Linked DNA regions of Drosophila melanogaster. The protein of the gene in region 1 interacts with the protein of each later gene in a biochemical or structural test. Each region holds a gene or a part of one and is shown on either strand. Other genes may lie near its edges. The genes, in order: dpr13 and DIP-zeta.

What was found.
Region 2: the proteins of dpr13 (region 1) and DIP-zeta form a complex in vitro, tested with the Drosophila melanogaster proteins (one study listed by BioGRID).

The regions. Positions count from the first base shown.
Region 1 is NT_033778.4:18,004,761-18,009,653, reverse strand, and holds the start of dpr13 (defective proboscis extension response 13), read left to right. Parts: upstream 1-1,751; 5' UTR 1,752-2,505; coding exon 2,506-2,620; intron 2,621-3,658; exon of another isoform or gene 3,659-4,259; intron 4,260-4,893.
Region 2 is NT_033779.5:9,067,966-9,073,067, reverse strand, and holds the start of DIP-zeta (Dpr-interacting protein zeta), read left to right. Parts: upstream 1-1,903; 5' UTR 1,904-2,236; intron 2,237-5,102.

The DNA.
Region 1 (4,893 bases):
CTGCAGCAATCTGCGGCTGCGGGTACATAAAATAAAAGCAAGGCACCCAGCAAGTGTAACTTTTTATGTGCTCAGGCAACAGAAATCGCCGGCCATTTATACGGATACTGGGATACTGGGATACTAGGAAACTGGGCGGCCAGGGAGATTGAGTGTGGGTCAGTGTGCCAGATATCGAGTGGAACGGGGAAGGGCAGGGGAATTAACATACACGACTAGATGTTTGCGGGTCAGGTTTTCATTGCCTGATATATGGTTATGATTTTCCAACGGCAATTTGGCCAGAAGCTGCGACTATTTGTCTTCTTGGGTATTAAATTTGGATGGGCAGCAGAACATCGAACTCATTAAGTGAAATATTAGAGAGGCGTTCGATTTTAATTATTCAAAAGATCGCAAAGAGCTATGTGAAAGGAATTTAATGCATGAAAATTATTTAAAATAAAAATGAACGAGATCTGTATTCTTATTAAACAGTGGTCCATTGCATTTGACTTGACTAATATATCTGAAGCATGAAACTCAGGAATTTAATCTGCAAGACACTTTCCCGCGTTTTAGCTCAGCATTTCCCCGGTTTTCCTTGTTAGCCAAAGAATTCAAGCGGAATGTGACATTGCAGCTGGGCAGATGGCGCCTTCGACGCGAAAATGCTTTCACAGCCTGACAAGGTCTAAAGCGTGTTAGCCATTTATTAGTTCGGATTTCTGGCTAGCCCCAAAGTATGCAACCGACTTCTGCGAGCCCAAACGTGGCCAAAAAAAAAAAACCATGAGCTGGCTGAAATGGAAAGTTAAGTTCGCCCAGCTGAGGGCCCACAACTTGGTACCAACTAATTTCAGCACAATAACCCAAATTGAAGCGGTTTGCTGATGCTTTGTTTGCACCCGATTAGAGCCGAGACGCGTGACGAAGGTGCTTTCGTCACTCGGCGAAATGGCTGCACAAAATGAGAGAGCGATGAAAGCAGGAAGGAGAGAGAGAGTCCAACTATGCGCACAAACAACAAGGAGAAAGATAGAGAGAGGACCGGAAGTAGTGAGTTTGCGATAAATGTTTGCTATAAAAATCGTACCAGCTGTTCACTGAAGATTGACAATCCTAGAAGCTGTTTGAAAACAAATTAAAATTTCAATATATGCACTAAAAAAATTTAGTTTTTTTTGGCATAAAAAAATTTAGTGTCGGTATATGTAAAACTGTTAAGTTGAGCCTTGTTTAGGCAAATTAAGGATACCTAAAAGTTGAATGTGTTGTTAGCCCTAAATCATCTAATCATACACAATTAAATGAAATGGTAATCAAAAATATGGCAAGGATTTAAACCAAATTTAATGATATATGAAACATAATAACCTTTTAGCTTTTACCTCTTTTCTTTAAGTTGATATAATAAGGTTAGCTGCATTAGTTGCAATGTAATATATGTGTTAATAGAACAAGTGCTTAATAACAAAAAAAAAAAACTATAGTATTGATTGCCTTAAACGGAATAGTTGATATAAATTGAAAGGACTGGGTTTCGGTTTCAAAGGACCAATTAAGCAAACATTTCACGCGAACGCAAGATGCTATAAAACTTGAGAGTTTCCCCAAAAGGAAAATGAGAGAGGCAAGTCGAGAGAGAAAGAGAGAGCCAAGCGCACGAAGTTCGTGCAGACTTTTCCGCTGCTGCTGCTGCTGCTGCTGCCACTGCCACTGGTGATGGTGTTGCTACTGGTGTTGCCTGCTTTTCCTTGGGTCCTCGTGTCAGTCGCGTGCGAAAGCGTAAAGTAAACAGACAGGCGGCTAAAGCGGCAGAAGGAAAAGCAGCGAAGCGCTGGAAAAGCAGGAAAAAGCAGCAGCCGTGCAACCGAGGGCCAAACAACAACACCAGCGGCTGGCAGGCGAATTCCCACGCTGCTGCTCAGTCAGTTGAACTTTGACCACGGCGGTAACGGGTTCGGTGCGGTGCAGTGTAGTTTCGGTGCGGTCAACGCGGCGTATGCGCAACGTACATGCAACGTGAGCGCTTTTTTTGCGAAACTATAAATGATGAATTCCAAATGTGCTGGCATATGGCTGCCACGTGCCCCCAGCTAAAATGTGACTAAAGGATTACAAAAAAAAAAAAACGAGCAAGTCAAACAAAAAGCGAAAATGAAACAATGCAAAAAAACGCTTAATTAAAATATGGAAAGTTAATTGCAAATGGCGCTTAGCAATGTGGTCACATCAAATGGGCATAAATCAACGCAGAAAGTGCATTTAATTAGGCTTAATATAAAGAAAACATCAAATAACCGAAAAGTGTGGGCCTAAAAAAATAAACAACAATTAGAGCAGGGGAAAAAACGTTTTAATTAATGCAATGTCATCCAATTGAAATGCAAGTGCAGTGACAAATGAAATCAAATTAAAGCTCTGATAAATTGAATCACAAATGCAAAACAATTGACAGCTACAACAACAAGCGGAAAATAAGTGCAACATCCTCAGCGACACACAGCAACACAAAGCAACAAAATGCCGGCATCAAGTGGATTATATCGCATCAAAAATGGCCGTGTCCTTGACAGGCTGCAAAAACCAGCGGCACTCATTTTTATAATAGCATATATTGCGGCATGCGGCATTTGCGGTAAATATCACACACAGACATTATGACTTTTCACTAAAACTAAAAATCAAATAAAATCCCACATAAAAGCGAGGCGTAGAAATTACAGAAAAATAATGACGCATTTAATACTTTTTCATTTATTTATGCCGTTGATTTTTCAATTTGCATTCCGCTTATTCTGTACTGTTCACCGAACACGATTTAATTCAATTAGCGTCGCTGTAATGCATGAAATATTGTCAAAAGACAAATTGGCGAAATATGAAATTAAATGTGGCAAATATCACGGACGAGCCGCAACAAAGGCCACGAGATTGCCCAAGTCGAGAAATCGTTAATTTGTAACATTTCATTGCCGATGTCGAGTGCAGTGACAGGTCAGGCGATGAGCGCGGAAATCACCTGTGCATCACCTGTCAATGGCTGACACCGCAACAACGGCAATCAGGGGATTCCCCTGCGCCAAACGGCAACAGCAACACTTGTCTCTACAACTGAGCTCACTGAAAGCTGCCCCCTGTCGCCATTTCTCTCCATCTCTTTCGCGCCCTGCATCGCTATCTCTCTCTCTCTCTCTCTCTCTGTGTCTGACTGACTGGCTGACTGGCAATTTGTCAAGCAATCAACAAAGCCAGAAATTGCCCGGCAATAAGACAGAGCGAAAGCGGCAGAACGCCAGTTTGTCCAATCGGGAAAATGTGAATGCGAATAAACCTATTGAACACGCCAAAAGTGGTATAGAATATGCACTGCGATAAAAATATGACACCAGGAACTATCATAATCATCTCTAGTTGCATTAGGTATATTATGTTTCTAAACTATGATTTTTATGCAGGTGTAATCCTTTTGACAATCTCTTTATTCCCTTTTCAAGCTTTACGCATTTTAAACAAAATATCTTTATGAATATTTAAAAATATACATATAATAAATAACATATAGTCAATCGTTATATATAATAATTTAAATTATATTTTTAATATGCAAAAGCTGACTATGTATTCTCAAGAACTATTAGTTCTTAACTTACTTAAATAGTTACAATATACAAAAAATGTGCCTCTTATAATGTTTATAAATTGCTAGTTTATTTGTAAATAATGTTTATTTCTCGAATGCTTGAACGCAACATAAAATTTGGTCTTCAATTTAAGCGATTTTTCTCGCAGTGATTGGTACTCGACTCCAAGGAATACCGATATGTGGAACTAGTACACTGCTTGTGCCACATTTTGTGCGTGCCCCGCGTCGATGGGGGGAGAGGGTGTCCGTAAAGTCGTTGCTAAATAACAACAACAATGGCATAAAAAAGTGCCACGTCTTCACACACATTTGCACGCGCACACACACAGTGGGGCCCTGGGGCAACGCACACACACCGCAGCAACTGCGAGTGCTACTGGCGACTATCTAGCGCATCCATTGTTGCATGCCACACACCAACACAGGCCTTTTGGGCCACACACTCCTGTCGCTGTCGTTGTCGTTGTCACTGTCAATGCTGTAATGAAAAATGCACAAACACAAAAACGAAATACGAAAAAAACAAACAGAATCCAAAACTGCAACTGAAAATAGAAATAAACAGAGGCCGAAATAAATATATTCAGAATGCACGCCAGCTTAGGGCGATGAGTAAAAAAAAATAAAATAGACAAGCAATTTCAGCTGCGCCTGCCGCTTTTTATTTGGACCGCATTAATATTTAGCCAGCCACATGAACGTGCCTAGATATACATTAAGGCTCATATAAATCAATATTTATGCCAGCGGTGCATGTCTGTGGATCGAGCCATGGGATTTTTGAAGGCCAGCGGGGTCGCAGCAAATGCATTACTAGTCGCTGCACCCAAATCCGCAGCTCAATGCATCCAAATATTTGCATAATGTAACCAAAAAATATAAAAAAAAAATATATTTCTCCACTGCACTGCAGGCTATATGCTAAGCAGGGCGACCATGTCACTTTGGGGGCCAAAAATGTGCAGCTACCCATTCCCCATTTGAATGTTTTGGTTGTGAACATCGATATAAACATGGAAAAGATCGAGCGTTGCTAAAAAGCAAAACGACCAAAATATATGTAAATACTCTGTACAAATATTCACTTATTCAATTATTCACAATGCTTAACAAGCGGTTTGTATGACATCCCGTGTTGGTCATCTAAATAAGGTGTATTGATTTTACTTAAATATCTTAATTCCGGATGTCAGACTTGATATTTCATAAGATATATATCATTCACCTTCTCATATGCATTTGGTTTAGCACATTTTGTTTAAGAA
Region 2 (5,102 bases), on another chromosome or scaffold:
AGTATTCCCCAAACTATTTTACCTCATTTGGGCAGTCCTTAGCAGAGAGACTAGACTGCAGGGCATACTTAACCAAAGTCGCAGACAAACTGCAAAAGAAATTGTGAATATATCTACACAGGAAAACAGGAACCAAACTTTCCATTTTCAATTTGCTGCAGACTTTGGCTAAGTACCAGAGAAGGAGGTCCAATATTTCCGACCGGTTTTGTATACTTTTTTTCCATTTTGTTTAGCTCTGTCTACTTAAACTCGCATTGAACTGGAAGAATAACATTGAACAGCAAACAATCAGCAGTCAAAAATTTCATTGTTAAGGCGGCAGCGGGAAAAAATAGCAAAACAAGTAGAGGGGAAAAACAGGAAACTTTCGGACAAGGCGTGAAAAATACAAAAAGACTGGGAAAGAGAGAAAAAAACTTTTTCCATGGTGAGAAAAACTTTACAAAGCAGCCAACAAAGTGTTGTAATGGCTGGCATCCAAAGGGATCCCCCGTCCAACGCTTGACTTTTGACCCAACGAAGCGAATGTGTTGCAACGACCTTTGTGGCCTTTCCGCCTCCGCCTCCTCATTCGCCATCACCTAATCCACCCGCTCCACCCACTCTTCCTGTTTTGGTCACATCCTGGCGCAACAGTCGACCACGCCCACTCGCCGCCCTATCACCTCTGGGATTCCCCCCACAATGAACTTGCCAAGCGATGGTGCACGTTTCTCCTTGGGTGTGTGGTGTGTAGAGGAATCCCAGGGAGAGGGTCACAGAGCAGTCATCTTGTCTGCCGTCTAGCCTTGTCAGTTTTAATGTTTTTGGCATTGAGCGATGTCTGTGATTTGAAAGAGTTCATTAAGATAGTTCAGTATGGCCAACAGGGAGAATTCATCACTCTCATATCGCATACAATCCGTCTATATATAGACTAACTTTCAGACGGATATGCATCGTTTTTTTTTCCTTCTGCACAACTGACCAGTGCTTGTCGAGATGATTACAGTGCCCTTAAAACAAGGTCTAGTTAAAAAATAGCAAAACTTTTTTCGTGCACCTAATTTAATAGGATAAAATCATCATGAAATACTTCAAAAAATAAGTAACTAAAAATATTATCTGTCTAACCATTCAAAAATACCACTGTTAACTTTGAAAAGAACTTCTTAATTAACCGTCTACCAACTGACAACCAGCTTTGCTAGCTCAGTCAGTCATAAAACGCAATTATCACCCTCAATTAGATGGTCCTGCATCAGCGAAAATCGAATAAGCAACGCTTGCAAATTGAATATCTCAAATTAATTGCACTTTTTTCGCTCAACATACGCACATGGACTTGAAATGAAATGCAAATAAATTTAATTAACTTGTCTAATTAAATACTTGGCTCCAAATAGCAATATGCAGCAACCAACGGAAAGCAAAAATGTGTTTTGATTTTGTTTTCATTTTATCTTAATTCAATTATTATTAAAAGGGTACAGCTTCAGCCGGAACGAGCCAAAAAGGTTCGACGGCGGAATCGGCATGCAACTCGAACTTTGAGAGGTGATTTTGGGGCATGGTGTTGCAGGTTGGACTCTGTTAACATTTTTGTCGCGTGTTTTGCGGTCTGTTGTTGTGGTTGCGGTTGCACGCAAACAACAAGCCTCCGAACATAACAAGGATACCGGACATAACCAGCAACCGGCAGCAACAACTACCAATGAACAGCATCCAGCGTCCTTTGGTTGGCTTAAACCGAAGCTACACTTCGGCTCGCTCTGTCGGCCGTCGGCTCGTCCCCGCCTGTTATCACTCGGCCAACGCGGCGTATACGTAACAGCACTTCCCATTCGTTAGATTTTCCCTTATTGTTGTTGGTGGAAAGCCAGAGCCCGGCTCTGTGCGAGCATTAGGTTTCGTCGGCAAATCAGTTTCGCTACGGATTCTGCACGAAGCGGACGCGTTTTATCGGTGTTACACTGAAAGATCCCCGGCAAAGGGAAAGTCGTACTCAAGTGTCATGTGATCGATGCCAAATTAGAAGCACCTGACTCAATGTGATCGTGTTGAGAAATGACTTAAAAGTCGAGCTAAAAAACTTAGGTCCACTTGATTATAAAATTTAAAAAAATACCAAAACTTGTAAGCGTTTTATTGAAAGATTACAATTTGTAAAAGTGGTTGAAAACTTGGTATATCATACGTAACACAAAACTAACCTACAGAATTAAATATTCACAAAAATATTCTTGTAGTTACAGTATGTAAATTAATTATTTCAATACATGCAATTCATACTATTAAGGTCTTAAACAGAAGAACAATTTGATCATCGGAAAAGTCTTTTTTATTAATAATTCATAGAATAGAATAGAAACTTTATAAAAATATGGAATTTTAAATTTAACAAACTTTAGATATTATTTATAAATATCAGTGACAGAAGTATATTAAATCGAAAGTTCCAACAATTTTTAAAAGTGCGAGTGCCGGTTAGGATAAGTAATTATAAGCTATGTTAAAAATTGAAAATGCAATAAGGAGTTGGTTTAATGCGTTTGTTTCGTTACGCTATATATTATATTTATGTATAAAATCTTAATTACAATATATAATGTAAAAGGTTTATGTTTGGGACTGCAGATCATTCAAATGCAATTAAAGACTTCGATTTATCTTAGTGCGAGTATTTCAAATAACTGAACTCCATTTAATGGTTAACCACAGCTACAATCCAGACCACAAACTCACATGTCACTTGTCAGGCCCTCGAAATGGGTAAACAATTAACAGTTAACTCTGCTAATGCACATTTCATGCCAACAAAAAGTAAACAAACAGCGAGACTATCTCCAGGACCCTCGAAGTCCTTAAATCCCGAAAACTGGCAGACACGCACACAACGCCATTCTTCAATCTGTGAAAAATTCCCAAACAAACTTATATGCGAATAAATGAATCCACTAGAGTTCACTTTGGGACAACTCGCAAAAAAAATAGTCGAAGGGGAAATTTGTTGCGATTGATAAAGGACAGCAGTTGTTGCCACTGCAACGCAATGCACAACACACAAACACAACCGAAAACAGCAAGGCAAATATAAACAAAGAATTTAGCTTAAAAATACATTAACCCACTGCATCCATGAGAATCAGGATATGCAGGGAAAAGGGCCAGGACCCGACTGCCAACTGCTGAAAACTTGCATACTTAATGGAGTAGGAGATAGAGACAGACAACGCAGAGAGTACAGTGGGGCCTATGTGTTACTGGACACAACTGTATTCCAAATGCAGAATAAGTCTTTGAGTATGAATATTGTCAAAGCTCATTGTAAACGTTTCTTAGCATTTTGTTACAATTTATTAAAAAAAAAAAATATTAAAGAGAAATATTTAATTACAGTATACAACATTGGAAACTAATAGAAATTGTTGTAAAAATACTTTACATAATTTATTCAATATACCAAGACTTAGAATGGATCCACCACTAATATCAATATATCGGTTCTTATGGTCCAAATATTTTAATTCCATTTAATATATAATTAAGATTTAAATTATTTCATATTTATAACATATGTGAAATGATTCATTTTGTTGGGTATCCACTGTACAATGGTATGTTTTGCATTCAGGCATCATTGCAGATCAATGGCAATATGGAGCTGATACAGTTTGAGTAAGACACGTAAACACACAGAGCAGAAGAAGGATGGGAAACTCATGGATGTCAGCTGTTTCAGAACTTTTTTCAAAAGCTAGTGAAGAGAGGGCTTATTGGTTCTTTATTTATTTCCATCTTTTTTGAATTCTTTTTTGAGTTCAGCTTTGTTGCGTTTTGTTTGCTCGAGTTCGGTTTGACGTTTGCAGTTACAGGAACTTTACAAATTGTGTAGAGTAAAACAAACAAAATAGCAAAACTTTGATGCTGCTGATGATGATGTCGAAAATATGTGTGAGCTTTGATCATAAGTGCATATTTATTGGTGCGTTTATTTGGTAAATTTAGTTTCTATATTGCACTTCTGAAAATATAATAGAGTACTTTATCCAGATAAAATCAGAGTTAAATTGAGTCTAGTTAAGCTTGTATTATCCGAATAAATAGTAACGTGAACTAACGAATTTTCGATAAGGGAGAGATGTAAGTCCTTAAATAAAACCAAATTAAATCGGAATTTTATTTTCATGTATTTGTATTGTTTGCTGCCAAAATATAAGTGATAGGTAACAGGCACAACCTTTCTAGCTTGCTTCTTCTTTGAAGAACCTTTTAATGTAAATAAATTCGGCCATAGGTAAACATATCTTAATTCAATTTCGGCCTCCTTTGTGCTGCTTTCTTTTCTCCCTTCAATTACCACAAAACCATGAAGGTTAAAAGCTGTCAGGCATTTATAGAAGCTTAGGAGAAATCCCCTGAGAGCTAGGAACATTTTTTTTGGGCTAATGACTATGTCAGGATTAATTTACGTTTACACAGAATCTTTTAAAAAGAAAATTTAAACACCCAATAAAAAATATTATAATGGCTATGAACTTAGTCAGCATAAACAAATAAATGTTATTGTCTCTTTCATCTACGCACCCGTTTAGTTAAGTCCCTTTAATCCCGCAACAATTATAAGCCAATTTGTTTTACCAAAAAGTTATCATTATAAAAACAGCAAAAACCAAACAAACACTAAATAGCCCCATTAAAATTTAATTTCCTAGCATAAAAATACAAGAAAAACACATTCGGAACAAGTTTCTCCCTCAACAATTTATTAATTTAATTACAAACACTTTGCCAAACTCATAAAAAAGTGCATAAAATTTGTTGGACTTCTTGTTCTTGTTTCTGATGGTAAATCTGTTTCGGTCCATACCAAAAAAGCTTTATCATGTGTGCGTGGTTTTTGGGGGAAGAGGTGGAGTCAAAATTGCTTAATTTCATAAGCGAGTCATAAGGGAAAAAGTTTTGTCTCTGTGTAAGTGTTTCGCAAGCTGCGTGTGGACCCCCTAAATAGCTGAAGGCGACACGCTCAAAAGCCATAAAAAATACAATTTTTAAGAGAAAGTTTTGAATGAGATGGCCAAGAAACAGCAACCAGAGTAGAGGACTGCGCGTGACACAAC